2 linked regions of the Anolis sagrei genome follow. The protein of the gene in region 1 binds, or shares a complex with, the protein of each later gene. Links are inferred from orthologs where the notes say so. Each region holds a gene or a part of one and is shown in the gene's direction. Other genes may lie near its edges.

Evidence for each region.
Region 2: the proteins of OPRK1 (region 1) and PDYN are in contact, whole or in part, in a cryo-EM structure (PDB 8F7W), measured with the Homo sapiens proteins. The link is inferred for Anolis sagrei from reciprocal best matches to the Homo sapiens genes OPRK1 and PDYN. Residues at the interface, in NP_000903.2 of Homo sapiens: Thr111, Gln115, Trp124, Val134, Ile135, Asp138, Tyr139, Met142, Lys200, Glu209, Cys210, Asp216, Tyr219, Lys227, Val230, Phe293, Ile294, Glu297, His304, Ala308, Leu309, Tyr312, Tyr313, Ile316, Tyr320; in NP_001177821.1 of Homo sapiens: Tyr207, Gly208, Gly209, Phe210, Leu211, Arg212, Arg213, Ile214.

Annotation. Positions count from the first base shown.
Region 1 is NC_090024.1:50,890,860-50,907,282, forward strand, and holds the start of OPRK1 (kappa-type opioid receptor), read left to right. Parts: upstream 1-9,679; 5' UTR 9,680-10,065; intron 10,066-10,725; 5' UTR 10,726-10,778; coding exon 10,779-11,041; intron 11,042-16,423. UniProt on the Homo sapiens protein: G-protein coupled opioid receptor that functions as a receptor for endogenous alpha-neoendorphins and dynorphins, but has low affinity for beta-endorphins.
Region 2 is NC_090024.1:239,521,834-239,538,189, forward strand, and holds PDYN (proenkephalin-B), read left to right. Parts: upstream 1-9,750; 5' UTR 9,751-9,763; coding exon 9,764-9,892; intron 9,893-11,104; coding exon 11,105-11,761; 3' UTR 11,762-12,402; downstream 12,403-16,356.

The DNA of each region.
Region 1 (16,423 bases):
AAGCCAACCTTAAAAACTGTGGCATAGACACTGAGAACTGGGAAGCCCTGGCCCTTGAGCGCTCTAGCTGGAGATCAGCCATGACCAGCAGTGCTGTAGAATTCGAAGAGGCACGAATAGAGGGCAAAAGAGATACAAAGAGAAACGTGCCAAGAGGATGGTGCATCAAGCCAACCCTGACCGGGACTGCCTTCCACCTGGAAACTGATGCCCTCACACTGGTCAAGAATAGGGCTCCACTGTTACGTACCCACCGTCAGGACATCAAACTTGGAGGACCATCTTACTCGGACAATGAGAGATCACCCAAGTAAGTAAGTGTTGGCTTAGTGTCAGAGTAGCTTTGGCCATCTTGGCCACAGGATTGTCCTCTATCAGTGAAAAAAAGTAAGGTGGCTGATATGAAAATTATAAGGAAAATGTTAGCTGTTAACAAGAGCTACAGTAAGGGATAAACTTTTCCAAATAATTTTAAGTCATCTTTGCATTTTTCACCCTTGTTGATACACTGCAAGACCCTTATCTGAGTAATGCATAAGTCAAAGCTTCTTCATTGAGAATATTTGATCTGAGTCTGCATGGGTTTTGAGACTTCCTTTCATCTCAACCATCTTCATAGGCATATTTATAGATGGCATAGGAGTGGACTTCCTTATTGGCTGTCTCAGTCTGTGGAATTACCTTCCATGGGAGGCTATTATGTTCTCCTACCATCAAGCACAGACCTTTTTAGTGTAGACATGTTTTTTGGTCACAATGGGCTGTTGTAAAAGGGTCTTTTCTAAAGACTGTGTGTAAATTGCTCTTTCCCCACGTTCTTGTTATGCTTTGAAATGCTTTAACGTGTGTTTGCTTTTTAATATAATTGCTTATTTATTTTATTTTTGCTGTTCTTCAGTGCAACAGCTGTCAGTCTTAATCGATGTTGAATTCATGCCTTGGGTCCTGCACTAGGAGACAGACAGGCAGGATGGAAAGTTAAAATCAAGAGTACAAGGAGCAATGCCCTTTTTTAGTTTATTGATTTATCTGTATGCTGCCTTGAAATCCCACAACAGAAAGCAGAGTATAAATATTTTAAACAAGCAAAGAAAGAAAAGGAAGGCCTTATATTGCTACAGATAAATCTATTCTTAACATTGTTTTCTAGGCTCATCTGTGCATTTTTGGGGTAATGTTCAATAACATTTTCATACACAATAACATTCACTCTAGTTAACAATAATTCAGTAAGTGTATTAAAAACATCAGAAACCATACACCAGTGTTTCAAAAGCTTCTCCAAATTTATTTAACAATGTTGTACGTACAGTAAAACAAATGAAGCACTGTAACCAGTTCCAGAAAAACCAATGCTAAATTCAGTGGAAATATCCTAACAACTGGTGAATACAATTAAAAGAGATGAAAAGCAAAAGCTGAAGTGTGTATGAGGAATAAGTCTTAGTTGTTCCTCCTTTCCTTCCAGTTTGGTCAATATTCATCTTCTTTGAAGCTGTGTGCAGTGTGTAGTTGTACTACATTATTTAAGATTACATGTTCCCTTCCATTGTGACAGAAGACATCTCCTATTAAAATAAGGTTGAACTCAGTTTATTTCTGTATGAAAAGGAGATATCAACTTTATGTTTTCTTCAGATAGAAAAATGTCTTGGGCCAGCTCTGCTCTCACTCAATACCTTAGATACCCTTTTCCTCTCATTTCCTTCTTTCAATAGAAGGAGTTCTCATCTTGAAGTTTAAAAGGGGCACTGCTCTTGGGCCCCATATAGACTGCCATAGAAAATGTAGATTATCTGTTTTGAACTGGATTATATGTCAGTATAGACTCATATAAAAAGGTAAAGGTAGTCCCCTGACATTAAGTCCAGTCATGTCTGACTCTGGGGTGTGGTGCTCATCTCCATTTCTAAGCCAAAGAGCCAGCGTTGTCCGTAGACACTTCCAAGGTCATGTGGCCGGCATGACTGCATGGAGCGCCGTTACCTTCCCGCCGGAGGGGTACCTATTGATCTACTCACATTTGCATGTTTTCGAACTGCTAGGTTGGCAGAAGCTAGGGCTGACAGCGGAAGCTCACGCCGCTCCCCGGAATCGAACCTGCAACCTTTCGATCAGCAAGCTCAGCAGCTCAGTGCTTTTACCCACTGCGCCACCGGGGGCTCCATAGACTCATATAATTATGTTCAAAACAGATAATGTGAATTATGTGCTTTGATAATCTGGATTATTTGGCAGTGTAGAAGGGGCCTTGATGTAATCCTTGAAGAAGCAGCTATCAAAGGGAGAACTTCAGTATTCAAGTATTTATGCTTGTTTAACTAACAAAAATGAAGCGGATATCTGCTTTTGAGAACTGGAGTAACTTCATCATAAATGGTGGGGCCCTCGGTAAAACCCTTGTGCCAGCAGGCTTGCTGACCGACAAAAATCTGGGGGGGGGGGGGAGCAGATTGAGCTCCCTCTGTCAGTTCCAGCTCCCCATGCGGGGACATGAGAGAAAGGTGGTAAAATATTAAACATCCGGGCATCCCCTGGGCAACGTCCTTGCAGATGGCCAGTTCTCTCACACCAGAAATGACTTGCAGTTTCTCAAGTCACTCCTGACTCACTCACACACACACACACAGAGTGCATTTAAACTATTAGCCAGAGAATCGATAAGTTAGTTTTTGGGTTACAATTTCTTTAATGTGTCAACCAGTAATTTTGGATGAGTTTTCACCCAAAAATGTAACTTTTTCAAGCTGTGTATGTATCTTTATCTCTATCTTTTTGTCTCTCTCTCTATCTCTGGCTAGGTCTACACTGCCATGTAGTCCAGATTATCAAAGTGGGTAATCCATATTATCTGCTATGAACCTGATTATATGAGTCTATACTGCCATATAATGGAGTTATAAGCAGATAATCTGGATTTTATATGGAAATGGAAATGTAGATCCAGCCTCTGTCTCTCTTTCTCCCTCCCCCCTCTACATATGTACACACACACACACATACATACATGCACACTGCCAGGGAAGGCTTGAGAATGCATATTTCTATATGTATGGCGTCTGTTCACACTTCTGCTGAATGTTCACACCAAGGGTGGAGTGTAGTTAGTACCCTATAGTCATTTTCCCTTACAATAAACCTTATATTTATCACCTATTTGGAAGATTTTATTTAACTCCTGCCTCTCAAGATTTGAGTAGGTACTCCAGATATTTTGCGAGTTCTGATCATTTATGTCCTGATAAACTTTGGATATTTTTCTGCTTTTGGGGGAATAAGAACTGTAAGACCATGATTTATTACAAAATAAAAGGCTAGCTGGAAAGAGTAGTAGTTACCCATTACTGTAGTGTCGTAATTTACAGCCTACATGACAGATCCCTTTGCAACTGAACTTTAAACCCTGTATGCAGCATTTGCAATGCACTGCATCTAATTATATGAATGTCACATCAACAGATTTGATACATCTCACCCATTCAAAATAAAAAGTTTTTTAAAAAAATCTTGTATGTCCTTTCCCCCTGTGAATTACATGACAGTCAGATTTCCCAAAGGCATTGTAAATCTATATAGGAAAGAAAATGTGTTCCCTTAGCAACAAAAACTACATGAAGGTCTGAAAACATTTCCTTGCATTACTGAGACTTTTCTTTCTTTGTTGCTCTATGAGGTATTAAAAGAGCCAGGCTATGGATGGCTGGCTGCATCTCTTTCTTCTCTGTCTTCTTATACACATAACAACGATCTGCCTCCTCTGCATCATTTGTTAGTTTGCCAACCCCTTGAGACAAAGATTTTTGTATTTGTAAAAGCACCATCTGTTGTTTAAGTACGAATATTGTTTCCCAAGAACTGATAGTGTATCTGAGAAATGATCATTTGGATATTTTTCTGCTTTTCAGCTTTGTTCAGGTGAGAATATCAAAGTATACTTCACTAAATTTAACTTTACTAAATTTAACATGCCAAGAGACCTGGGGTTGGCATTGCATACAGCAGTTATGGTATCCAGCTATGTATGTATGCTCTTGTAGATGCTAGAGGTTCACATTTACTGTAAAGATCAAACTTGTTTGCCCAAACCCCACCTTTTCAACCTGGCAAAATCTAGCTGACATTGCTACAGATCACTGCGCTGGGAAATGGTATCTGCAGCTTTGTCCTGAACATGTGGCATATTCAGAGAAGTAGTTGTGTCCAGCTACTGTTTTGGGCATGCCTGATCACCAGGGCATGAATATCTTTAGTCTGCATGTAATTCATGTACATTACAAGTGTATGCATTAAAATGAAATAAGGTTGGGAGTAGAACTTTTTGATCTATTTTTTTCTTTTCTTCTGGGAGCAGGCATTAGTCCATAGTGGAATGAACACATACCCCCATACCATGTGTGTCCCAATACAGGTCTGTCCTCCTGATGCACTTTCTCTCACCGCTTAGTGAAGGTCAACCCGATTGTTTCATCCCTTCTGATTTCTCCCCTCAGACACACACTACTCCATTTACTTATCTCACCCAGGGTTTTATCTATTTTATTTCTGTGCATTTGGTCCATCCATTGTGCTTTTATTCCTCCACCATTTTATTTTTTTGCATTTGTTTATTGTACATTTTGCTATTTTTTGTATTTTACTTTGATGTTTATTACTTATTCGTTGTATTTTACTTTGCTGTATTGTAATTCTGGGCTTGGCCTCATATTAGTCGCCCTGAATCCCCTTTGGGGAGATGGTGGTGGGGTATTATTATTATTATTATTATTATTATTATTATTAATTGGTTTCCAGGGTACTGAGTCTATTACATACAAAACAAAATATTTCGACTTGGCATATGGCAGTCCTTCTATTACATTTTATCTGATAAAGTTGGGACAAATAGACATTCCTCCTACTGTAGCCGAAAAGCTGCTTGTCATTACCTGTGGCAAAGGGATTCAAACCAATGTTTAAAGACTGCAGTGCATATATTGTATGTTTAAGTCTTTCAAAAAGGGGAACAATTTACGATTCTGTTTGAGATACTGTTGTTGTTAACTGGGACTGTAAAAGAGGATCTGTGCCTGTTGAGTGTATGCTAACTCAGAAAGGCCAGGACAGAGACACCAACTCATCAGGTTGAAGACAAGCTACAGAGGGCTGGAAAAATTAGAAAATTGATTGATGGGCATCAGTTCTAGCAAAACCTTTCAATTTTTAAGACTAATTGTGGCTTGAACTACAAGCTTCATTAGAGTTAGGAACTAACTCTAGTTAGTTAGCTAGTTAGTTAGGAACTAACTAGCTAAAGCTAATTAAGATGGAATGTTTTTCTAATAAAAAAACTTTATTTTTAAATTGACTTAATTTGGAATTTCAACATTAGCACAATTTTAGAATTAAATAATGTATTACATAAGTGTGAGGCAGTACTTATTTTAGAACAGCATAAGTAATTTCCAAGGTTAAATGATTTTAAACATAAAAGTAGTAAGGTTAGTAGAAGGAGGTGATCCTCTTTGCATCCAGGTTCTCTTCCTATTTTCTAAGAAGTGCCCACAAAGAAGATCCTCATCTGTCCTATGAAACTGATTTTTGAAGCTCTTAATCCTGAAACTTTTGCAAGGATCTATGCACGAAAGCAAGTAATCTGTAATAATCATGACTGGCATTCCCTGCTTTGTTCTGGGAAGGCCTTAAATGCAGGTATAAATAATAATAAATATAAATGTTAATTTACCACAAACCTAGGAATTCATTTCCATTACTAATGTAAATGCAATTCAATTAGATTTGTTGTATTTTACTTTGCTGTATTGTAATTCTGAGCTTGGCCCAATTAGATTTTGTTAGCTGATCAGAGATCACCTAAATGTGTTAACCTACTACTACAATCTCTGAGCATCATTCATCCATCCACCAATGTCCAGAATCCAGTCAGGCTCAACATAGAATAGTTGTAGCATGTGAAACTATGCCACAGCTGATCATCCCATGTCCCCCTCATTTATCATAGAACATAGAAGACAGGAAAAGTAGATGGAGGAGGCAAAAGAATGACTTATCCCAAGGCAGCATTCTTGCACCGACCTTGTTTAATATCTTTACTAACGATCAGCCACAAACCCCACTCACAAAGAGCTTTATATATGCTGATGATCTTGGCTTAACAACACAAGCAAAAGACTTTGAAACAATTGAAATCCAGTTTACGCAGCCATGAAGCCAACAGGAAATTGAAAGTCACCTGGGAAGGTCAAGAGCTTGAACATTGTTTCCATCCTAAATATCTTAGATTGAACACTAGCATATAGGAAACACTGCTTGAACACCAAGCACAAAATAGCTGCACACAATAGTATCCTGTGAAAACTTACTGGGAGCACATGGGGTGCAGACCCAAAATTAATAAGAACATCAGCCCTGGCCTTGTCTTACTCAACTGCTGAGTATGCCTGTCCTGTTTGACATAAGTCTGCCCATGCAAAACAGGTGAACGTAGCTTCCTATAATCAATCCTAAAACCAACCTGTCTTCTAGAGGACTTGGTTGAAATATAGCATCATGGAGGACCAGTCTAGGCTGTATAGAGGTAAATCTATTCTTAGCCAAAATTTCACTTTGTCTCATCATATTTTAAACTACAAGATACATCAGTGCTTACTCCATCATGAAGGTATGTGCAGAGATAGCATTCAGTTAAGCACAACTTGTATATCATGAGATCTCTTTCTACAAGGATTTTCAACTTACAAATGGTGACATATGATCTCATCACATGGGGCTTTTTTAGCATCCTAGGATGCTTCCCTGCCAGTCCAACAATGGATGAGCATGCTGCCCCTCATACAATGTCCTTGGACTTCTGCTGGAAGTCCATCCAAAACTGGAGTGGAAGCATCATACAGCACTTCCCTTGTAACACGGGAGTCAGCATGAATCCACACCGCTTCGTCGATGATTTCCCTGTGTGACAGAGTCACCTCTCATCCCTGCTGTTCCACCACGGAGGCTGGTGAAATAGTGCTTGGGGGGGGGGGTGAGTTCCCCCATGTGATAAGGCCAACATTGTATCCAAGCAGCATTGTACTATAAAAATTAGTAGGAATACCATGTATATTTAGACCAAAATGTGAAAATATAATGCTCAATTATACTGACTCATAAATTAACAGCTGTTTTAGAAGCTATACAATGTAAAGTATTAAGAACAAGATTAAGGAATCTGTCATGTAAGCTAATATGGATGATGTGTCTACACTGCAAATTTCCTCGTTCTATAGGCCCATTAGGTTTAAACTTGCCTTTGGGGCATGTTTGCATAATTAAATTTTCTGCACTTTGTGCAGTCCTTTCTCTTCTCTCTGGTTCAGTCTGTGCCCTTGGCATAGTTGATATACTAAATGGAGAGTTACTGAACAATTATGTATTTCAGGATTGGACTTCTCCCAGAGGGATTTCTCAAAGATGTGGCTCATTGTCTTTCAAATGGTTTGCTTTAGCAGTCCTAGGAAAAGGAACTTCTTGAGAATACAGCAGAAAAGAAATTTGCCACAATTTCCCAACATCAGGAAGTTGAGGTGCCACCTCATAATGCATAAAAGTAGGGCTGGCATTTTAGCTGTTGTTAACCTTACAGTTTACTCCAAATCAAAATCCAAATGTTTGGCAAGAATTCAGAGTGAATGTGTCATTAAGGTCCATCTGAGACCCCTTCTACACTGTCCTGTATCCCAGGATCTGATCCCAGGTTATCTGCTTTGAAATAGATTATATGTGTCTCCACTGTCATATAATCTGGGAAGAACAAAAAATCTGGTGTGAAACAAATGGGGAATTTTATTATAACAATTCCAATGCTGTACCACCAAAAATGTAAAAGACAACCACATCGTTTAATCAAATAAAGATTGATTAATTAACTTCGACTCCAAACTCAAATGACTTTCTGGCAGGAGGCCTTTATTCATCCCACTACTGTATCACCAATTGTTAAGGATTAGTATATAAATTCAACTAAGTGTTTGGAAGCTGTTGAGATTTTTCCACAAACACATTATTTTCTTAGTTAATGTTCTGTGATCACTAGCTACCACCACACCTAAAAGTAATTTATAGTTTCTGTTTTGGCAAGAGATTTTAAGTAAGCTGTATTGTGCTAGATTCACACTCAGAGCTCTGAACTTTGAGGTAAAATAACACTGAGTTTCTTTTAAGTAAACGCTGCCACCAATCTTAAAATTCTGTTTCCCTTACTGCTATGGAACTATTTCACATAGAGGCACTCTTGAGTCAGTTGTTGTTTAACAAAGAACAAAGTTGTTTATTTGTGAGAACTTCAACAATACAGGCACTTAAGCTTAACGGTTGCGATAATGAGTAGATGCCTATGGTTACTTTAAAAAACAGTTCAATGCTTAGTTCCAAAAACGACTCTTCACTCCCTCAGAAACTATCAGACTTCCCTCTGACTATAATTCCTAAAAACTCCAGACAAACCCTGACTCAACTCTTCAAACACCAGACGCTAACTGAGCTGTCAGATTTGAAAACGCACCCTTACAGGCAATTTTTTCTCCACTCTGGCTAAGCTCTGCCCACTTTCTCCTAGCCAATCACAAAGGCTCTTCACATTTCCCTCCAGGCTGCTCCTAAGCTCTGTCCCCTCTAGGAAATGGGTTATCTAAGATGCCTGCCTCCTTGCACCATTCTCATAAAATGGCTCCCGAAATCCTGGGCCTACTTTCTGAGCTTTCCCCTGGCCTCAAAGGTAGGCAATTCATCACATCTGGCATCAGATCCTATGATATAAAGGGTAGTGTAGAAGGGGCCTGAGAGAACATGAGTTTTCTAAGGCCATATAATGGGTTTTCGTGGCTAGTTGGGAATTTGAACCCTCCAACCACTTCATCTCCAACCACTTCATCTTGTCTCTTGCTAATCTTTTTGCCGATGCTAATTTCCCATGATCTTATTTTTTAGCAGAGACCCATGACAAGATTTTATTGCTACTCCAATTCCTCCTCCTCTTCCTCCAGGCAGCAACACAACCTGTAGATTCAAATAATGAGACTCGATAGGTTCAAACAATTTTACCTTTGTCTTGTCTGGGCAAACATTACAAAAAAAGTCTGATAACTGTCAGTTTATGGTAATATACTTCCAAGCATCTTAGACTACTTGGAAAGTTTAATAGAGAGGTAAAACTAGGCAAAGAGTGACAAGATGTTTTGTTCTTTTCACAAACATACTGAAGTTATAATACTAAAATGTGACAAAAGCATTATGATATGTAATGGATTTAGGGATCCATTACATATCACAATGTTTTTGTCACATTTTAGTATTATAACTTCAGTTATAGGGGCATTAGTGTGAATCTGCCTCATTCATTCTGCTGCATTTTAAGGAGGACACTTTTATTTCCTTAATACAGACTGAACAGAACAGGGGACATAGTGTCTGCACCTAAGAGAACAATTCTTTCAGAACATATCATGTGGCCAGGTGAATATGCTGGATCTGAAATTTCTCTTTGTCACCTCATATAACTAATGATGTGGGAACCAGCACAGCAGTAATAGGTTGAAGGGATCTAATTGCTAAAAAAAAACCTTAAAATCTGGGGAAGGATTAAGATATGGATGTGAAAGCAATGTAGAGGGTGGCACAAATCTTTCAGGTGCACAGAACAAGCTGTCTCCCTCTTGCCTCATACTTTGCCTGCCTTTTGGTGTCTAGAGAAAAAGTCATGTGAGCTGAGAAGAGAATGTGTGCAGGGGCTGCTGGAGTATCAACGGACTGACAAAGCTGGCAGAGTGAGAGTTGGAGACAGAGTGTGTGAGGGAGTCTGCTTGCTGCAAAGGTAAAGTGGAGGCTACAAGGGACTGTTGCTGCTGCTGCTGTCGGTCCAGAGCTAATCCTTCGGAGATACAGCTGTTCTTCATTTCCAGGAGTGCAAACAAATCCTTCAGATTCTAAGTTACAAAAGTGAATCAGAGACAGAAAGGGAGAGGGTGCTGCTCAGCATATGAGGATTTTTCTCAGGGAGACCATACTTTTTCCCTCTTTCAGTTTAAACAGGTAATGTTGCTACTCTTTTGTTTCTTAATTTTTCTTTACTCTTGTGTTTTAAAATCTTTATTGCTGACCTATTATTGAAATGTAATATTTGTATTCCACCTACATTTAAAACACAACTGTAGCTTGTGTCCTCTTCTTATGTTACTGAGTTGGGAAAGATCCCTTATATTGTTTGAACAGGTAAATGATGAGATGAAAGAGAAGAGATCAGAAAGAACTGTATTTTGATCTTTAAAACATGTTGCTTGATGGAAAATGAACGAAACTTATCTGGGCAACTCATTAACATTTTGATGCTCCAGCACAGTATTTTAAAAGTCCAAAGGAGTTTCAAACCTGTCTTCATTAACCTATTATCAAGAGTGTAAGGCTTTTCCTCAACGAGTCCTACAAGGTGAGAAATAAAATTAAAACAAATCTTTGACAAAACAGAAATGTGAATTAGCCTTCCTTTTTTTGTTAGAGAGTCATGTTTCTGAATTCATGGTGGTTTAAAAAATTGTTTCTGAGCACTGTGTGTTATCTTATTTCACTTCTATTTCTCTTCACTTGTAGTGTTTTTAAAGGTGTTTAGGACTTCGGGAATTATAACTGAAGGAACTTCTGTTTAGGGACTTCTGTATGAATAGCACTTTCATTATCATCTCCTTCTCTTTCCAGTGTTATTGGCTGTTCCTGTCTCTTCCCTTCTTGAGTTTGAAGTGGAATTCTCCATGGATCCCCCAGTGCACATTTTCCGAGAGGAACAAAGCTCTACTTGCTCCCCTGGACCATGCTCACTTCCAACTCCGAGCAGCAAAAGTAGGCTTTTGGACTTGGCAGACTATGGCAACAATGGTAGTGGCATGTATGAAGACCTACAGCAGAACCACACCAACATCTCCCCAGCTATTCCCATCATCATCACTGCAGTCTACTCTGTGGTCTTTGTGGTGGGCTTGGTTGGCAACTCTCTAGTGATGTTTGTCATCATAAGGTAAGCAATATTATTGAGGTGTCTGGTGAGTTCTTTAGGTCTTTTCAGGTAGCATCTATTGTTACACTTGCACTGTTTGGTCCCTTCTCCTTAGCAATCGTGAGAGTTGCCCAAAAGCCAGCTCAAGGGATTTGAAAGATGCTTGGGGAAATGATAATGTCAATGAGAAATCTTGATTCCCTGACCCCAGGCCCGTAGCCAGGATTTCGATTCGGGGGGGGGGGGGTGAGTTTGTTTCGGGGGGGGGGGCTGAGACTGAGTGAAAGAGGGTTTACCCTAGCAAATCTTTTGTATCGTTATCCCAATACCCCCATGCATATGGGATATATTGAGTATGGTGATCAGATCATGATATGAATAAACATAACTGTTTAAATAATGCACCAGTAAGGCCTTTTCACAAACCACCATGAGAATTTCGGGGGGGGGGCTGAAGCCCCTCAAGCCCCCCCCCGGGCTACATGTCTGTGGACCCATATCATTTATGGTCTTATGTGAACGAAAAAATACAGTTTTTCCAATTCTCAAGGAAAACCATGTAAACTGTGAAGAAAAAGGAGCTGAAGGATAAATTAATGAAGGGAAAAGTTCTTGATGTCTTGGGTGTTATTTTTCTAGTAAAAATTTTATCTGAGTAATACTTTTCTGCCAGATCCAAACAATACAATGTCTAGAAGAATCACACTTACAGATGCCATAACCCCAATGAGTAAACTGTTAGTGGGAGAAAAAAAAACCTGTATATTAATTTATTCTCTTAGACACATTCCTTGAAAATTCAGATTTAGTATTACTGTGGGAGAAACTGCCATCTCAACACATGTGCAGTGGCCTAAGTAGAAGTTAGAGGCTGTCTCCTTTGGCTTGTGAGAATAGAGTTAGAGAAAACTAACTTGTGGATTGAGTCCCCCCGGGGTAGAGAAAGGTGGGGTATAAATAAGGCAAATAAAACTGAATTGGAAAACTGACTTCAAAGTTGTAAGTTGTATAGCTTGGAGGATGAGACAGAGAAGTTGGAAAACTCTGCAGAAATATATGAGTAGAGCTCCCCCCAGGGATAAGAAGTGGTTAATGTTTTATTATTATTCCCACTATTGCAGATACAACACACTCGATCACATATCTCTTTTTCTTCCCATCCTTTGTCTCTCTCTCTCTCTCTCCCCCCCCCCTCTATATAATATATACACACCTCAAATCTGCATATTGTTTTCAAAAACATATTTTCTTTGTGTGTGTGTTCACAAATGAGATGTTTGGTTCATTAAGATCAGATCCTGTGCAAGAAAGATTTAATTGAACTCAAGCCTATTTTATTCACCTGTCCCATACATGATTGTTGCTCAAGCATATATGCATACAGTCATTTGGGTGAAAGTAGCGTAGGTGCATATCTCACCTTCCCAACCTTCCCGGTTTCAATACAAATTGAATATACTAATTAAAATGACTAATTTGCTCTAAGTGGAAGGGAAGGACTGAGAAGTGTATCACAATGATCTCTCATTCATCCTAGTGGTCCCCAGCACTGCCCTGGATCATCCTTCTATTTAGGCAAATTGAGCATTGCCCATTTATTCCCTCAACTGTCTTTCCTATCTCCAGAGTGGTACAAATGATATTTACAGCTTATGAGGACATAGAAAATGAGATACCATTGGTTCTTTGCTTTGTCAGTGATGACTCCTCTATCCTATCAGCCCTAGTGTCCATTAGCCACTGCTGCTCTACTCATATCAATTAATATATCTTATCTTGTATTGTATTGACCTTATATTCTTTGACACTTTGTTATCGTGTTACATATGTGTGTATGAAATGTGTGCATGGTTAGTTTAAATCCATGATTCTTGTTAGATTTCACAAAATCATTCTTTTTAGAAGGTTTATGCTTTGTATAAAGGCTTTGAACAAATTCACAAGATTATTTCCAGTATAGATGATGGATATTGGGCATACAAAACCAGATGCAATAGGAGGAATATGTAATTAGATTTTGCCCCTTTCAATTTTAAGGCAAATATGGAATTGGTTTTTCTTTTTGCTAAGTGAGGGAGAGGGGCATCATGTCCATCAGGCAATTTCCTGATCTAAAAGGCCATGAGTAACTCTCCAGGACTGCTGATGGCTCTTTTGTGGAATGACATTAGGACCTCCTGGCCAATCCTGCAGAGATCATCAAAGCTTCAGGAAGGGATAGTTTAGATCAAGATAAATATGTGGTGAGAGGAGGGTGAAACATCTTTTCTTCTGAACTGCTTCGCAGGTCAAAACCAGAGTAACAAACAACTGTTTTAAATTTTTAAAAATCCTCATAAACCTTGATTGCAGACCTCCAGTACAAGCATGCTTAGAGCAAATAGGTACTGTATTGTACTAATTTCTCCTCTAATTTTAAAACAGTTTCTTTTATGGATTTCACTGTAGGGAATTTTCATTCCTTTTCATCTTGTGACTGAAACCTTTGCTGGCCTCCATTATAGATTGCAATTGAATGTAAAACATGATCAAATTTCGTTTATCAGTTCCCAACAAGCCAGATGGGTGATAGAGAAGAAATACACAAATGGTGAAGAAGAGTTCTCTACAATGTTGTATAGACAACAGCACAACATTTCAATCCCATCACAGTCCTCTAAAGACACAGTGCCTTTCAATCTCAATGTCAATATTTCCTTTGGAGGTCTCAGTGAATGATATAATCATTCTGCATCTGGCTATAGGGACAGCCAGATGTTTCTGCCATTCCTCCTACTTTTCCACCAGTCCCAGAATAGCTTAGAGATAGAAGAAGGGAAGAAGGGAATGTCAACCTATGGGAACAACAATAGACATTTAAGTTAATTTAAAGATCTTTATTTATTTATTTATTTACTTACTTCACTTTATTTACTTTACTATTCTCAGCCCTTAGGCGACTCATAGTGGTTAACAACAAAATAGCAAAAATTCAATGCAGCATAACAAGGTATTTAAAAACAATCAACACAATAGCAGACTAAGCAATTAAACAACTATAAACATTCATTCATTGGCATCTCATAACTAGAATCATGATCCAAACTTGTCATTCGTAGTTCCATTTCCTAAAATTCATTGCACTGCCTATTCAAATGCCTGTTCAAATAACCAGGTTTTCACTTTTCTTTCTAATGGCAAAACATATTTAGATTTCTTCTGAATTGTTAATATCCTGTGAATCAAATATTTAAGTTATACATGTGGCTTGATGTAGGCCAAACAGTATAACATCTTTCCCAGGATTCCAAATCCCATCTAGGACTTTCTGGAACATGTTATTTGATAATTTGCAGCTCAGAGAACCTGCTAAGGAATCATTAAGCACTAGATTAAGATGGTGTTCTTTGTTACCTGACATATGTTTCCAATATACCGTATATACCCGAGTATAAGCCAGAGCATTTAATTTTACCCCAAAATAAAAAAAGGAAAACATATTGACTCGAGTTTGAATCGAGAGCAGGAAATGCAGCAGCTACCAGTAAATTTCAAAATAAAAATAGATATCAACAAAATTACATGAACTGAGGCATCAGTAGGTTAAATGTCCCCCCTAGGGGGTTGAGAAGGGCGGGGTAGAAGCATCCCAAATAAATAAATAAATAAATAAATAAATAAATGTTTATGAATATTTACATAAAACTGTAATTTAAGATAAGACTGTCCAACTTGGATCAAACCATTATTCTAACTTTCTTCAATGTAAATCTGCTTACGCATCCTTCCAATCATAATTAAGAGAGTAAAATAATAAATGTGATAATAAAAATGGATTAAAATAATAAATGTAATAATAGAGTAAAATAATGAATGTAATAAAAATAAAAATAGAGTAAAATAATGTAAATGTAATAATAATAATAAATTAGAGTAAAATAATAAATGTAATAAAATAATACTAATAACAGGGTAAAATAATAAATAACCTTCACGTGAGTATAAGCCAAGGAGAGCATTTTCAGCCTAAAAGGGGGCTGAAAAACTAGGGTTATATTTGAGTACATACAGTAATTCCTGGTTCCTCTTGCTTTTCTGAATCCTACTTGAATATCTGGCATTTCTCTATGTATGGTAAAAATCTTTGCTGTAAAATTCTGAGTATTACTTTACTTGCATGGAAGAATAATGCTATGATGATTGATTCACTCACTGGTGTTCCCTTTCTTGGGAATTGGATATGTGTTGCTCATTTCCATTCTGTATGACAGTGTTTTGTTTTCCATGTTTGTTGCCAGAGTTTTGTTGCAATTTGTATGGATTCCATCTGCACCATTTGAACCAGCTCTATTGCTTTTCTTTGGACCCTAACAGGGTCCCTGATTATGGTCCAAGGTTCTTCTTTTCTATAGTCTGTTTGGCTTAATAGCACAAATCTATTCTTAACTTTATATTCTCCAGGTAGATTCTTCAGGTTACATTTTGGCAAAGTGATTTAGTAAATTTTAGCTATGGTCTAATTTTTAGATGTTTGGTTTTGTGCATAATCTGCTCTAGAGAAAATGTAAGTGGAATATCATTATTTGTTTGTTCTATTTAACCTTGCGGAATTATTTTTGAGATTTGTATCACTCTACTTGTGTTTACAGCAATAATAATAAAAATGGGGGGGGGATCTAATCTGCTTTAGCCTTGTTTTTGCAGAGAGAATGAAACTTTTCCATTTACACCTAATTAGGCAGTTTAATTTATGTAGTGGCCATCTGATGACATTCAGATGGCCACATACAGTCATCTGAATAATGCATTTGCAAGACATAAATTTTTGGCCTCACAACATTTGATAAATTGTTCTTTTGCTTCATTTTTATCCTAACTAATTTCTTAATTTCTCCAATATTTAGTTTTGCTTTCTTTACTACTATTACACTAGAATCATCTATTTTTGGTACTAGACTCTAGGATAGGGATCATCAAACGTTTTAAACAGAAGGCCAATTCATGGTTCCTCAGATTGTTGAGGGGAGCAAACAATAGTCTTTTAAAATTATGGACAAATTCCTGTGCACACTGTACATATCCTGTTTGTAGTGCAAAAGGAAGGAAAGAAAGAAAAGAACAATACAATATTAAAGAAAATTGTGTCAGGAGTGACTTGAGAAACTGCTGGTGTGAGAGAATTGGCCATCTGCAAGGACGTTGCCCAGGGGACGTCCTGATCTTTTACCATCCTTGTGGGAGGCTTCTCTCATGTCCCTGCTTGGAAGCTGGAGCTGAGAGCAGGAGCTCAACCCACTCTCCCCTGTTGGTCAGCAGTCTTGCCAACACAATAGTTTAACCCATTCCACTACCAGGGGCTTCAGAATATTTAAAATAAAGAACAATTTTAACCAACATAAACTTACCAGTATTTGAATGGGAAGA
Region 2 (16,356 bases), about 190 Mb from region 1:
CCGAACCAAACTCGCCCCCCCCCCCGAAACAAAATCCTGGCTACGGGCCTGCCCCAGGCAGTAAGAAGCCAGACCTTGGAACTGCTAGGCCATAAAATGCTAATCAAGGTGGCCAATTGAAACATTCACACCTACCTCCAACAGACAAGAGTACTTTCTCCCACCCTGAACATTCCACAGATATATAAATCCCATTTTCTAGTTTCCAACAGACCTCACAGTAGTTAAAACAATCAATTAAAACAATAACAATTAAACAATTAAAAGCCAACGTTCACTGAGTTCTGATATCTGTAAGTCCATTCATCATTACCATAGTCCTTTCCAATTTCTGGTCAGCATTACCTTGTCAGTCTGCCAGATTACCCAAAGGCCTGGTCCCATATCCATGTTTTCACCTTCCTTCTGAAGGAGAGGAGGGATGTTGATGACCTAATTTCCCCGGGGAGTGAATTCCACAGGTGAGGGGCCACCACCGAGAAGGCCCTGTCCCTCGTCCCCATCAGCCTAACTTGTGATAGAGGCGGGGCTGAGAGCAGGGTGTCGATCTGCATTTATTCTACAGTGTAGATGTAGAACTGACCAGTATGTTGACTCTTGGGCAATCTCATGAAACCTTGGCTTTTCAGGAACTGTTTGCCTTCTTTCTCTCCCTCTATATATGCTCTTCTTCTCCTTCTTTTTCTGATTTTTTTCTCTCGGTTACAGTAAAACCTCTCTTTCCAATTCCCTTTCCCTTAAAGATATGCTCAGCTCTTTCAGTCAGGTTGGGGAGGCTTCATTAATGAATGCTCTTAAGGCAATTTGCGATCGGAGATGAAAGGTGCCGAATGCTTGCGACGCATTGTTATCAGAGAGTGAATCATGCCCGGGGAAGCTGCATCCAGCCGCTCGGCACAATTTATGTTCTGCTAACGTCGATAATTCGACATATGATAATGCATATCATTCAAATTACATCTTAATTTAGCACAAATGAAGATGGCAACCATTAGCATATTTCTCCATCAGCTCCAATTAGAGGGCATGATGAAGTCAGCTCCGGCAGGAGAGAGTGAGAGAACGAGAACCAAAAGTGATCTCCGGGGAGTCATAAAACAGATCCCTCTTGGGTTTGCCTGCGATGTTCAGAAGGCCAGAGAGAGAGCCACAGCTTCAGGGAGGAAGAAGCTTCAGAAGAGGAACTCAGGTGCACCTATATTAAAGAAATAATGCAGTTTGACCCCACATTGACTGTCTTGTCTCAATGCAATGGAATTATGGGGTTTGTAGTTTGGAGATGATCAAGGGTCTGAAGAACAAGCCCCATGAGGAGCGTCTTAAAGAGCGGGAGGCACTTAAAGCCGAGAAACCTATTACGTGACACGCCTGAAGGCTTTGAAGGCCTTGTTTGCATTTCTGTCAATCTAGCTGACCTTCGTAAACCTAGCGATTCCCCCCTGCTCTGCCAAATCTGCCCTCTCCTATCTTCAGGTGTCAGATTCTCTGAAGAGCCAGAAGGGAGTGAAAGTTCACCGCTTGGCTCTGAAATATTCTCATGGGAATTTGGACGTTCGCTTTCCAAGGCTGCAGGAGTTTCTTCTACATTGACCTCAGAATCCACATCCTCATTAGCATCAGGAAATACCTTAGCATCAGGAAATACGATCAGAGAATCAGGTTCAGGTTCAGGTTCACACACAGGCTGAACCCTAACACATTCAATCCCATAGACACACAACATATATAGACAGACACTCAGAGGCTATTAACACTCCAGCTTCTCGTGAGGGTATTCTGACCACCAGGGGAGCTGTCACTTCACTGTACATTTGTGACACTGATGGAGTACTTCTTCATTATTTGCATGCTTGCTGGAGATTTGTATGGCCTTGTAAATTAGTTAAATTAGCCTCCCCGTATAAGTGGTACCTAAATTTCCTACTTGACAGATGCAACTGTCTTTTGGGCTGCAAAGGTCAACAGGAAGCTACACAAATTGGTTGGAAGCTCACTCTGACCCGGGCTGGCTTCGAATTCATGACCTTTCAGTCAGTGATCTTAATGCAGCTGAATCCCAGCCAGCTGCACCACAGTCCTGGTGTGCTGAGAAGAGACATGATGAGGACCATGTTTCAAGAGGTATGGGGAAGTCATAGGGAGGAGGGAGCAAGCTTGTTTTCTGCTGCCCTGGAGACTAGGATGCAGAACAATGGTTTCTAATTACAGGAAAGGAGATTCCACCTGAATATTTAGGAAGAATTCCTAACTGTGAGAGCTGTTCAGCAGTGGAACTCTCTGCCCTGGAGTGTGGTGGAGGCTCCTTCTTTGGAGGGTTTGAAACAGAGGCTGGATGTCCATCTGTCAAGTGTGCTTTGAATGCGATTTTCCTGCTTCTTGGCAGAAAGGGGTTGGACTGGATGGCCCATGAGGTTTCTTCCAACTCAATGATTCTATGATGCACCTGCTCTTCTTGGCAGAGAAGGCCGAAGACCTTGTAAAACTGCAACTCCTATGATTCCTTAACACTGAAGTAGCTTCAGAAGAGGCCCTCAGGTGCATCTATATCAAATAAATAATGCAGTTTCATAGAATCATAGAATCAAAGAGTTGGAAGAGACCTCATGGGCCATCCAGTCCAACCCCATTCTGCCAAGAAGCAGGAATATTGCATTCAAATCACCCCTGACAGATGGCCATCCAGCCTCTGTTTAAAAGCTTCCAAAGAAGGAGCCTCCACCACACTCCGGGGCAGAGAGTTCCACTGCTGAACAGCTCTCACAGTCAGGAAGTTCTTCCTCATGTTCAGATGGAATCTCCTCTCTTGTAGTTTGAAGCCATTGTTCCGCGTCCTGGTCTCCAAGGAAGCAGAAAACAAGCTTGCTCCCTCCTCCCTGTGGCTTCCTCTCACATATTTATACATGGCTATCATATCTCCTCTCAGCCTTCCCTTCTTCAGGCTAAACATGCCCAGCTCCTTAAGCCGCTCCTCATAGGGCTTGTTCTCCAGACCTTTGATCATTTTAGTTGCCCTCCTCTGGACACATTCCAGCTTTGACCCCACATTAACTGCCTTGGCTCAATGCTATGGAATTCTGGGATTTATAGTTTTGTGAAGCACCTGCACTCATTGGAAGAGAAGGCTGAAGACCTTGTAAAACTGCAACTCCCATGATTCCTTAACATTGAAATAGCTTCAGAAGAGGACCTCAGGTGCATCTATATCAAAGCAACAATGCAGTTTGATCCCACGTTAACTGCCTTGGCTCAATGTTATGGAATTTTTTGAAGCACCTGCACTCTTTGGCAGAGAAGCCTGAAGACTTTGTAAAACTGCAACTCCCATGATTCCTTAACTCTGAACCATGGCGGTCAAAGCAGTGTCGAACTGCATTCATTCTACAGTGTAGCTCTGTATCCAAAGAGAAGAACTGTGGTCTGCATAGGGTTTGGTGAGTTGGGCTTGAGGAAAGAGTTCAGAGAGTTAACCATTGCAATATATTGGGGGTGTTGTGTGGTTTCTGGGCTGTATGGTTGTGTTCTAGCAGCATTTTCTCCTGACATTTCACCTGCATCTGTGGCTAGCATCTTCAGAGGATGCAATATATTTGCTGGCTTGATCGCTTACCACTGTTTCTGGCTGTTTGCATGTAATAATTAAAAGACAGAAGTAGCAGAATTAGTCACACATCGAACCCACGGATCAACACAGACACTTGTCCAGAATGGCACCTAAGCACAAAATGAACTTAGGAAAATCACAAAGTTTGCAGACATTAGCCTATAAATCTGGGGTGCAGGGAGAAGATCTCAGATTAATTGAAAGGTGCTCTGAGAACATTGCATTGAAATGCAACTAAACTGAAACATCTGTGGCATTTCCATTTCGGAGGAAATATAACAGCAGAGAGCTCTTAACGATGAGGAGAAAACAAAGAAAGCACATTTCTAGCCCCCCTACCTTCATCTATCATAATAGGAACATTCAAGGTTGCCTAAAGAAATGGATTGGCAGTGGATTCACTAGAGTAGTTTTTCATACGAAGGTAAATGAATGATGTGCGGGGGGTCATAAACTCCAGGTGATCTCAAAGAGAATTCAGCACATCCACAGAAGGTTATTCCATTGCCAGCTGTGGACTGAAATGCTAGAGCATGTAGATTTGAGTCTTCCAGGACTGTCACAGAACTTGAGATTGCGGCAAGAAAAACAACAAACGAAAGTAGAAACACATGCATAGATATCAAGGGTATGCTCTTGAGATTCCCCCTATTCCAGTGTTTCTCAAGCTGAGGGTCGAGACTCCTGGTGAGTGGTGAGGGGGTGTCAGAGGGGTTGCCAAAGACCATCAGAAAAAACAGTATTTTCTGTTGTTCATGCGGGTTCTGTGTGGGAAATTTAGCCCAATTCTCTCATTGGTGGGGTTCACAATGCTCTTTGATTGTAGGTGAACTATAAATCCCAGCAACTATAAATAAAAAATAATGGTTTTATTTATGTTTTATATTGTAATGTTGATTATTTTTAATGGTACTTTTATGAATGCATGACATTGAATGGTGCCAATCTGTAACCTGCCTTGAGTTGCCGTATGGTTGAGAAAGAACTCCCAAATGTCAAGGAACATTTTCCACAAACTCCACCAGTATTTACATTTCAGCATCTTGAGTATTGTGGGTGCTAGAAACAATATCATACGAAAGCTGACTGGCACAACCTGGGGATCACAAGCAGACACTGTGAAGACATCTGCCCTTGTGCTATGCTACTCTGCTGCTGAGTGCGCAGTGTGGAACACATCTCACCACGCTAAAACAGTAGATGTGGCCCTTAATGAGACATGCCGCATTATCACGGGGTGTCTGTGCCCTACACCACTGGAGAAATTACACTGCATAGCCGGTATTGCACCACCTGACATCCGCCGGGAAGTAGCAGCCAATAGTGAAAGGACCAAGGCAGACATATCCCCAGCTCATCCCATGTTTGGGTATCAGCCAGCACGTCAACGACTTAAATCAAGAAATAGTTTTCTAAGATCTACAGAGACACTCGCTGGAACACCCCAGCCAGTGAGAGTCCAAAAGTGGCAGGCTCAAACCCAGAACCTCGATCAATGGCTGATAACAAATGAGAGACTCCCCCCTGGGCACACAGAGGACTGGGCAACTTGGAAGGCGCTGAACAGACTGCGCTCTGGCACCACGAGATGCAGAGCCAACCTCAAGAAATGGGGCTACAAAGTGGAGTCCACGACATGCGAGTGTGGAGAAGAGCAAACCCCTGACCACCTACTGCAATGCAACCTGAGCCCTGCCACATGCACAATGGAGGACCTTCTTGCAGCAACACCAGATGCACTCCAAGTGGCCAGATACTGGTCAACCAACTACCAAACTCACAAATTTTGTATTTTTTCTGTTTGTTTGCTTTGTTCTGTTAGAAATGTAATATAACTGACTGGTTGCCCTGACACGACAAAAAAGAAAAAGAAATAAAAGCATCTTGAGTATTCGTGCCAAGTTTGGTCCAGATCCATCATTATTTGAATCCACAGTGCTCTCTGGATGTAGGTGAACTACAACTCCAAAACTTACAGTCAATGCCCATCGAACACTTCCAGTATTTTCTGTTGGTCATGGGAGTTCTGTGTGCCAAGTTTGGTTCAATTCCATCGTTGATGAAGTTCAGAATGCTTTTTGACTGTAGGTGAACTATAAATCCCAGCAATGACAACTCCCAAATGACAAAATCAACCCCCCAACGCCACCCATATTCAAATTTGGGCCTTTCAGGTATTTGTGCCAAATTTGGTCCAGTGAATGAAAATACAACCTGCATATTAGATATTTACTTTATGATTCATAACAGTGGCAAAATTACCTTTATGAAGTAGCAATGAAAATAATGTTATGGTTGGGGGTCACCACAACATGAGGGACTGAGGGGTTGCGGTATTAAGAAAGTTGAGAACCACTGCCCTATTCACCTTGAGGGAAAGAGAAAGTCCAGAGGCAGTGTGGTGTAGTGCTTTGAGTGTTCAACAAATACTCTGGAGCAAAGGGTTTGTAACTCTGCTTTGCCATGAGACAGAGGGACAGAGCAGCAGGGACTCCTTTCCATCTTGACTTCTTGGTCACCTGCTGTTTTATATGCTGCACCAATATGCTCACTATACAATGGACATTGTTAGATGCAAGGCATGAATAACGGCACAATACAGATATATGTAAAATAATGCAAATATTCTGTGGTTTTTCACCCAATGTGTCAATAAGCAAGGCCAACCCAAATATCTTGTCACCCAGATCTCTCATGAGAATGGCATTTGGCAGTTAATACCCATTTTTTGCAGCAACAGCCATAAATCTGCCAGGCATTAAGATACACTCCAGTAGCCCCATCCTACTTAAGTGCAAGCAAATACCAACATGGTTAAAGCACGGCAACAGCCATCATCCAGTGTGAAAAATGCACAGCTAATATAAGCATTACATACATACAACAAATGCAGAATACATGGCTGAGAGTTGGTTAGTGTAAGATTCTGGCGATGGGCATGGCTGTGCAAACGTCTTGTGGTGTTAGGACCCTGTGCAAACTACTCCTGTGCCTATTTACGCCAAGCTAAAGGCTGTAGAAATGTGGACCATCTGTCATTCATTGTTGCCTTTCCCTTTTCAATAGTACGACAGTTGATGGCAGACAAGAAATCTATGCTTAATGGGCTGTGAGGCTGTTCTTGCTCCAAGCGATATTGGAATATGTTTTAAATCAGACAGGGCTAAAGTGGACTTGGCATAAGAAGTGCACAGACTCATGGCTTGTTTTTTCCTTTTAGTGAGAAAGAACTGCCTGTTTGAGCAAAGATGTGTATGTAGGATGCTTAACCTATATATGTTTGTGTGTGTAATGTTTGTTTGTGGGATTAACATAACTCAAAAACCACTGGAAGGATTGACACCAAATTTGGACACAATACACCTATCAGACCAACAAGTGGAGCCTCTGGTGGCACAGTGGGTTAAACCCACCCCTGTGTTGGCAGGACTGAAGACTGACAGGTCGCAGGTTCGAATCTGGGGAGAGTGCGGATGAGCTCCCTCTATCAGCTCCAGCTCCCCATGTGGGGACATAACAGAAGCCTCCCACAAGGATGGTAAAAACATCAAAACATCCGGGCGTCCCCTGGGCAACGTCTTTGCAGACGGCCAATTCTCTCACACCAGAAGCGACTTGCAGTTTCTCAAGTCGCTCCTGACACGACAAAAAACAAAAACAAAAAACCAACAAGTTACCATCACTCATAAAAACAGCAGAAGGGACTTAAAAAGCCAAAAAAGCAAAAAGAGGCTACAGCGCATGTGCAAAAATGACTTCCCCGACAAACAAAACACAAAATAGCATATCCACACTCTCTTCTGGACCACAGCTCCCAGCATCCCCTAGACCAGGCCCTTTAGGAGAGAAGGATGATCCAAATGCACTGCTTCCAAGCTGCAAGCTTTCTTCTCCTTGGATTTCTTTGAGAGCATCCCAATCCCTGCATATTTCCAATTTCCTATTCCTGGACTGAAACTCCCAGCAATCCTACAGATAGATAGATACATTTGATAGAGATAGAAAATCAAGTTGATAAATTGATCAGGAGGACTACTGGGAGTTGCAGTCCAAGAATAAGTAGAGAAGAGAGAAAAGGGAGAAAGAGGAAGTGATAGAAAAAGGGGGGAAGGAAGGGAATCAAAAACATCAAAACATCCGGGCATCCCCTGGGCAACGTCTTTGCAAACAGCCAATTCTCTCACAAGGTAGAAAAAGGGGGGAAGGAAGGGAAGAGGAAGAGAAGGAAGGAAGGAAGGAGACAACAAAAGAAAAGAAAAGAAGGAAGGACTGAAAGAGGGAAGGAAGGAAGGAAGGAAGGAAGGAAGGAAGGAAGGAAGGAAGGAAGGAAGGAAGGAAGGAAGGAAGGACAGAAAGAAAGGAGGAAAGAAAGAGGGAGGGAAGGTTGGCCACAGTAACATGTGGCGGGTACAGCTAGTATATATATATATTTGTCCAGCTCAAAAATATCCCTCTCTGAAACTGTTCTAAATTTGCATGGGGAAGGATATGAATTATTGCCAGTGGTTCTGAAATGACTTCTACTAGTTCCTTGGATACTCTTGGATGTCGTTCATCTGCCTTGAATTCATTTAGAGTAGCCAGATATTTCAGGACCACATCTTTCTTTACCCATTCTGGGCTGCATTTCCCCTTGTCTGCTTCGTATTGCTCAGGTTGAACACCAATCTCTTTTTGGGAGAAGACTGAGGTGTAGAAGGTGGCTGCATTTCCCCTATTACCTTGTTTGCTCCGTATTGCTCAGGTTGAACACCAAACTCTTTTTGGGAGAAGACTGAGGTGTAGAAAGTGTTGAGTAGCTCTGTATTTTCCCTATCCCCTGTTAGTATTTCACCACCTTCTTCGCACCTTCTTCAAAAATGCATTTGATTTCTCTTAGTTTCCCCCTTTCTTTGTATCATAAACTCCAAGACCACATAGTCACTCCCACCTAAGAATCCTACTACTTCCACTCCATTGATCAGATCCTCAGAGTTAGTTAGGATCAGATCCACAATAGTGGATCCCCTTGTTGCTTCTTCCACCTTCTGGACAATAAAACTGTCATCAGGGCAAGTGAGGAATTTGTTGGACTTTGTACTCTTGGCAGAGTTTGTTTCCCCACAAATAGTTTAAATCTCCTTTACTACTCTATCTCTTCTTTCTGCTTGTTTGGTCATCTGGTCAAGGAAGGCTTCATCCAGTTTTCAGTCTGTCCTTAAGGTATGTAGTAGACCCCCACAACTACATCTTTTTCGGTCCTTATTCCCTTAATTTCTTATCCAGATGCTCTCAATCTGATTGTCAGGATTGAAACCTTGCATCTCTTCACAGGTGTAAACATCCTTAACATATAATGTTACCGCTCCCCATCTCCTATTTGGTCTATTGCTCTGAAATTAGTTATACCCCTCCATTACTACATTCCAATGATAGAACTCATTGCACCATTTTTCAGTGATGGCTATTACATCATAAGTGTTTTGTTGTGCTAAGAGTTCAAGTTCATCTTGTTTGCTTCCCATTCTCCGTGTATTAGCATGGAGACATCTAAATCCATGGGACAGTCTCCCTCACTGCTTATTTTATCTTGGCAAAAAAGAGCCACATGCAAGTCAAATCAATGGGAACACTTTAGAACAACTGAGATAATTCAGACAGTGTGAGCAATCTATAAGAGCAAGTAAAGTGTACTAGTTTGAATGCTGGACTACGACTCTGGAGATCAGGGTTAGAATCTCTGAGCATCGACACATTGTATGACCTTGGGCAAGTCAATCTTGGCCTCAGAGGAAGGCAATAGCAAACCCCTTCTGAATGCATTTTGCCAAGAAAGATTTGGAACAGTGCCACCAGAAGTCAGAAATGACTTCAAAGCATACAACAGATGGATGGATTCTCCTGGTTCCGAACATTTTTCACTGAGAGTGAACCTGGGACCTTTTGCATGGTCTGCTATTGTGTTGTATCATTAAACTACAATGTCTCCAACCATCCAAGAAAGGCTTGGTGACTGGCTCAGTTATTACTGTGTGCTCAAACCATTATGCTACACTGGCTCTTGCTGTCTCGGAGCTGCTGGTATTTTGGATGCTTTTGGGTTGTGATTGCTTCTCCCCCAAAATAAATGGATAATCATGTCTCTCTCTCTCTTCCTTCCCCTTCAGGTGTCTATTGGGAAGAATGGTGTGGCAGCTTTTGGGACTGACCATTTGCTTCGGTCTGGCTCCTTCTGCTTTTGCAGACTGTGCTACTCAATGCTCCGCATGCGCTCTGCAGGTCCAGGATGTAGAGAAGCCCATCAAACCCTTGGTAAGTTATGGCATGGGCCATCGGTTTATTATCCCTGCCTAGCCGAGTGAATAAAATTCTGCAGATAAAGCGTGACACTTGAATTCTTATCAGGTTTGAGGCCCTGTTCAACAAAACACATTTATTGTAACTTTAATCAAGCATATCAGCCACTTCTTCGTGTGAGTTGCTTGCTAATAAACAACAGCAGCAGCAGCATCTTGGTGGATGTCTTTCGATGAAGTGGAAAAGGCTAGAGAATCGCCACCCAGAAGAAATCATATATGTGCATAACACAGGATATACACATCTATGTCATTAACAGGATTCTGGCTAAGATCTAATAATAGACAAAATCTTCCATCAGGAGATAAAACTATGATAATACCGCAACCTCTCCACAGCTGCATCTTCTTATGCTACTCTTCCCAAAACTATCTTTTAGACTATGTCGCCACTCCAGCAGAGGAACTTCCAAGGTGCAGAAGAGAAAGGGGGTGAAATATGACATATCTAGCCCTCTCTCAGTAGCAAGCCATGCAGTGACAGGATGGATTGTGCTATGAACATAAAGATGAATTAGAGTAACTACGAGGGGTATTTTTTAAGTAAGGTCCGTTTTGTTGTAGACACTAGTAGTTCGCGCGCATACCGCAACGAACGCGTGTGTCGTGTACCGGCATGCCTCGGGAACAACTGTGCTCAGTTTCCGCTCTGTAGCTAACCTGTAGGGTTCTGTTCTGTGCTTTAAAAATGTTTAAGACTATCAACTCACCATCCGCATGTGAGGTTCGCTCAGTGATACGGTTTTTGTCAGCAAGGAACCTGCCTGCTGCAGAAATTCATCGGCAGGTGAGTTGATAGTCTTAAACATTTTTAAATATATATATAAACACACAATGGACACACGTTTTGTGGATTTACCAGTATGTGTGTGATGGGAGGTTGTAGATTATGCACGCACACACATATAAACTCCAACTGTGTGTGTGTGTGTATGTATGTATGTGTATATATTCCACAACTTCCTAACACAGACATACTGGCATATCCAGGGTGTCCAATGTGTGTTTATACGTCCACACACACATAGAGATTTGAAGTATATATGGATATAAAACATCTAAACAACAAGGCTTGCATCCATTTCTATTGAACTGTCAAATCTTTTTTGACTTCTTTCTGATCCTTCTCGGAAAATTAGGAAGACCTTTCCTTGTTGTTGTCTTGCAGATCTGCTCCCTGGAGTGCCAGGGCTCCTTGCCATCCAGGGCAGAATGGGAGAAGTGCAAAGACAGCTTGTCTACCCTCATTCCTTTCTTGATGGAAGAGGAGGAGAAAGCCAAGAGACCTTTCCAGTTGGAGGAAGAGGAGGAAGCCCCCCAGGAGCCATATTCCAGTCTGGTCAAACGTTATGGTGGATTCATGAAGAAGCTGGACAAAAATAGGATCTTCTCCTTGCTGCGAGAGAATGCCCTCACCAAGGGTGGCATCAGCAAGAAGTATGGTGGGTTCTTCCGGAAGATTGGAGAGAGGGCAGCCTCTGAGCCGGCGATGGAAGACTACCCCACAGTGCTAGAGACTGGAGATCTGGCCTACAATGGAGCAGAGTCAGATACAGGGTCTCTCAAGGATGAGACGAAACGTTATGGGGGATTCCTCCGCAAATACCCCAAGAGAGGCTACGAAATGGTTTCCGCCACTGAAGATGATGAGCAAGAGCTGGAGGGCCTCCACAAACGCTACGGAGGCTTCCTGCGTAGGATCCGCCCAAAGCTCAAGTGGGACAATCAGAAGCGCTATGGAGGGTTCCTCAGGCGCCAGTTCAAGGTGACCACCCGGTCCGAGGAGGAACCCAATGCCTATTCAGGAGAGGTCTCTGACCTATAGATGCCTCCCCCTCATCTGCTGCAGAAAACCAAGTTCTTTTCCAGCTGCAATACTTCCAAGTAGGAACTGTGTGGGTCATCCATCTCAACTGCTACCCTTTCCCTTGTAAGCTCCCAATGCTCAGCCAAGCAGTGCAGGAACCCTTTGCCAATTTGATGATAGAAAGACCAGCTTGATATCATGAAGAGAAGGGGCTTTAATGAACTTGAGGGTGGAACTTTAGGGTTTGGGGCTGGGGAGGGAATCATATGCTCTCTGCATTTCATTGAACTCAAACTTCCAGCATTCCTCACTACTGAGTACACTGGGTATGGATGATGGAAGTGCAAGAGCATCTCAAATCTCTGCTTTGGGCAGATTTTGGAGAGGTTACAGTCAGTCCTCCACATTCAAGTAATGCATATAGGACTCCTATGGGAGTGGGGAAAAAAAATCTGAATTTTCCCTGAGTAAATAGATATAGAAATCTCTCGCTCCTCCAATGTGACTTGATGACCAGCTTCTTGTGGAAGTTGACCCTAGAATCGCATGGGAAGACCTACAAAAACCCAAAAAGTGTTATCTCTAGGAATGGCTTGGTCAGTGTTTCTCAACTTGGGGGTTGGGACCCCTGGAGGTCATGAGGGGGTGTCAGAGGGGTTGTTAAAGACCATTGGAAAACACTTAACATTTCTGTTAATCATGGAGATTCAGTGTGGGAAGTTTGGCCCAATTCTATTGTTGGTGGGGTTGAGAATACTCTTTGATTGTAGATGAACTATAAATCCCAGCAACTACAACTCTCAAATGTCAAGGTCTATTCTCCCCAAAATCTACCAGTGTTCATATTTGGGCATATTGAGTTATCATGTCAAATTTGATCTACAGTGCTCTCTGGATGCAGCAGGTAAATTACAACTCCAAAACTTAAGGTCAATGGCTAACCAACTCGTCCAGTATTTTCTGTTGGTCATGGCAGTTCTGTGTGCCAAGTTTGGTTCAATTCCATTGTTGGTGGAGTTCGGAATGCTCTTTGATAGTAGATTAACTATAAATCTCAGCAACTACAACTCCCAAATGACAAAATTACCCCCCCCCCCCACAACCCCATCAATATTCAAATTTGGGTGCATTGGGTATTTGTGCCAAATTTAGTAAAGTGAATGAAAATACATCCTGCAGATCAGATATTTACATTATGATTGATAACAGGAGCAAAATTACAGTTATGAAGTAGCAATGAAAATAATGTTATGGTTGAGTGTCACCACAACATGAGGAACTGTATGAAAGGGTCACAGCATTAGGGAGGTTGAGATACACTGCTCTAGTTCCTCTAATGTGACTTGATGATGTGACCTGAATGTGTGACTTGAATGTGTGACTTGATGATGTGACTTGATGATGTGACTTGAATGCAACATTCCTGCTTCTTGGCAGAATGGGGTTGGACTGGATGGCCCATGAGGTCTCTTCCAACTCTTTGATTCTATGATCAGCTTCTTGTGGAAGTTGACCTTAGAATTGCTCAGGAAGACCTACAAAAATCCAGAAAAGTGTTATCTCTAGGATTGTCTGGGTCCTTCAATGCAACCTTGTGGTCAACTTCCACTGCAACTTCCAATGCAACCCTATGGTCAACTTCCTATTCAAATCTATGACTAATGAAATCTGCAAAAGTAAAACCTGCAAATGTGGAGGGAAGACTGGAGTTTTTTTTTATTACAGTTCCCAGATTTGGAGAAGAGGGAGTGTTAAGCTGTCCAAACACAAACAAACAAACCCACACAACATTTTCTCACTCTGGGTTTAGGAATTGAGCGTCACCTCTCTGGATTTGCCCTCTAGAGACCAACCTATAACTGATAGAAATGTCACCTCAAAATGGATATCGATTTTGCCTTTATCCTTTCCCCTCCAAGAGAAGCAAAGGCATTGAATTAGTCAATAAAAATAAAAATAAAATAAAGACAGGGCATATAGGAGCAGAGCCCAACTGTATGCCCATTTACATGGGAATGAATTCCATTCATTTCAATAGGAACATACCTGTATAGAGGATGGCAGCAGATGAAACTACAGTACTTGAAAATTTGAAGGAATCAAATCTGAATAAAGAGCACTAGAGAAACATGTTGGAATAAGGTAGTCACATTCCAAATTCTCAACCAAACAAGAGAATCATAATTTTAGTGCTTTGGAGGATGGAACTTGGAGGAGGAAAGACAGGTGAATTAATTGGTCAGTATACTAAAAAGGAGAACATAGTGCCATTTTGAAAGCATTCCTTCCTTAACCCTCCCTCGATAAGCCAGTCAGTCAGTAGCCTTTATTTCGGTCAACAAACCATCAGCTAAGTCAAGTGAAAGTAGAATGATGAAATACAACAATTAACAATTAATAACTTCACATTTGGCTTATAATTAATACAAACAAGTATCACCATACCCTAGATAAAATAGTGAAGAATAGAGACTTCACACTGGCAATGAAGATCCGCATAGTAAAAGCAATGGTATTCCCTGCAGTCACCTATGGTTGTGAGAGTTGGACCATAGGGAAAGCTGAGCGAAGGAAGAGAGATGCTTTTGAGCTGTGGTGTTGGAGGAAAGTTCTGAGAGTGCCTTGGACCGCGAGAAGATCCAACCAGTCCATACTTCAGGAAATAAAGCGCGACTGCTCATTGGAGGGAAGAATAGTAGAGGCCAGGATGAATTACTTTGGCCACATAATGAGAAGACAGGAAAGCTTAGAGAAGACGATGATGCTGGGGAAAATGGAAGGAAAAAGGAAGAGGGGCCGACCAAGGGCAAGATGGATGGATGGCATCCTTGAAGGGACTGGCTTGACCTTGAAGGAGCTGGGGGTGGTGACGGCTGACAGGGAGCTCTGGCGTGGGCTGGTCCAGGAGGTCACGAAGAGTTGGAAGTGACTGAACGAATGAACAACAAACCTTGTCATTGACCAGGTGTGCAACAATAGAATCACACATGATTCTTGATCAGGTTGTATATAGAGGTCTTATTCCAAGAAACGATCAGATATCTTCAAGAACTTTGTCTCACATTGAGTATGATTTGAACTGTTGGTTTTTTCCGGTGGTTTTCAGAGCAGTAAGAAATCTCCCTTTTCTCATTTCCAATGGAAATGCACCCTTTTAGCAAAAATGAGATCTGGGTTATTGAGGTCAGCGGTTGAAGGGCTCTTTTCACCGGCCATAGATTGAAATAATCGGAAGCAGACTCTCATTCCCTCTCCTTCTCTTTCCTGCCCACCCTCTTCCCGCTTACCATGCCTCCCATTGTTATCCCTTCACTGTCTCTCAGGTACCCTGCAGAGAGCATTTCCATTCACCTGCCATAATAAGGTGTCCATCTGGAGAGCATCCCACGCAGCTTGCTTTTATTTGGGTTAAATTGCATCGCTGACCCTTGGCAATGGGGAAAATAAAGCGCATTAGCGGAGCAACGCAATAACAATGTCTCCTCATGTCTGAAGTGATCCTGAGGCAACCTGCAATTTGTCGCCTCAGCAACTGGCTGGGCTTGGATGGCCTGTCCTAATATTTGCAGGTGGGGTTGAATTTCCCCCATTGTGCCTCTTGATGTGTAAAATTCATGTATTTTTCAGGGCCTTAAGATCTTTTTCTCAAGTTGGCCTCTCCTCAGTGTGAGACAAGGCTCTTGCAGATATCTGATCATGTCTTAGTATCAAAGGATCATAGGGACAGAAGAGACCTCATGGGCCATCCAGACCTCTGTATACAACCTGTATACAATCCTGTGTGACCCTATTGTGTCAACAAGATAGCCCATTGAAAATGATCTTACTACTTATTTTGTTATGTGCAGAACCCATAACAATTGCTAAGTTGTCCAGATGAGTCTAAGGCAGGCATGGGGAAACTTGTCAGGTCTTTGTTCCAGTTTTGAAAAATCTGCTGGTTTCTTAGAAGTTGCCACTCTTTGACATTGAATTTTGAGGTCCTCCAGGACAACTTATTTGAGTGGAACTCTCTGCCCCGGAGTGTGGTGGAGGCTCCTTCTTTGGAAGCTTGTAAACAGAGGCTGGATGGCCATCTGTTAGGGGTGCTTTGAATGCAATATTCCTGCTTCTTGGCAGGGCATTGGACTGGATGGCCCACGAGGTCTCTTCCAACTCTATGACTCTATGATTCTTCAAGCCATTTGTGGCTTATGGCAACCCTAAGCAGGTTCTTCTTGGCAAGATGTGTTCAGAGGGGATTGGCCATGGCATCCTTCTGAGTTCAAGAGAGTGTAACTTACCCAGTGGATTTCAATGGCTGAGCTTACCTCCAAAACATGCTGACTAGAGTGATTGTTCAGTGCCCAACCATTACAACATGATGCCTCTCTTCCCTGCCTTATACATTAAAATTAGAACACTGTACCCTGAACACTGTATATTTCACTGTTCTACAAATTTTCAGTTTTTCTCAGTTGCGGAAATGAAATGTGCCGTTTCTTAATAAATTTAACATGCTGAATTCAAATATAATAATTAAATGTGTTAATTGGCTGTGGTTTTTATGCAACAGCTATTTCAATTTTCTCCACAATAGGTAATTCGTTAATATTATGATAATGCACCTAACC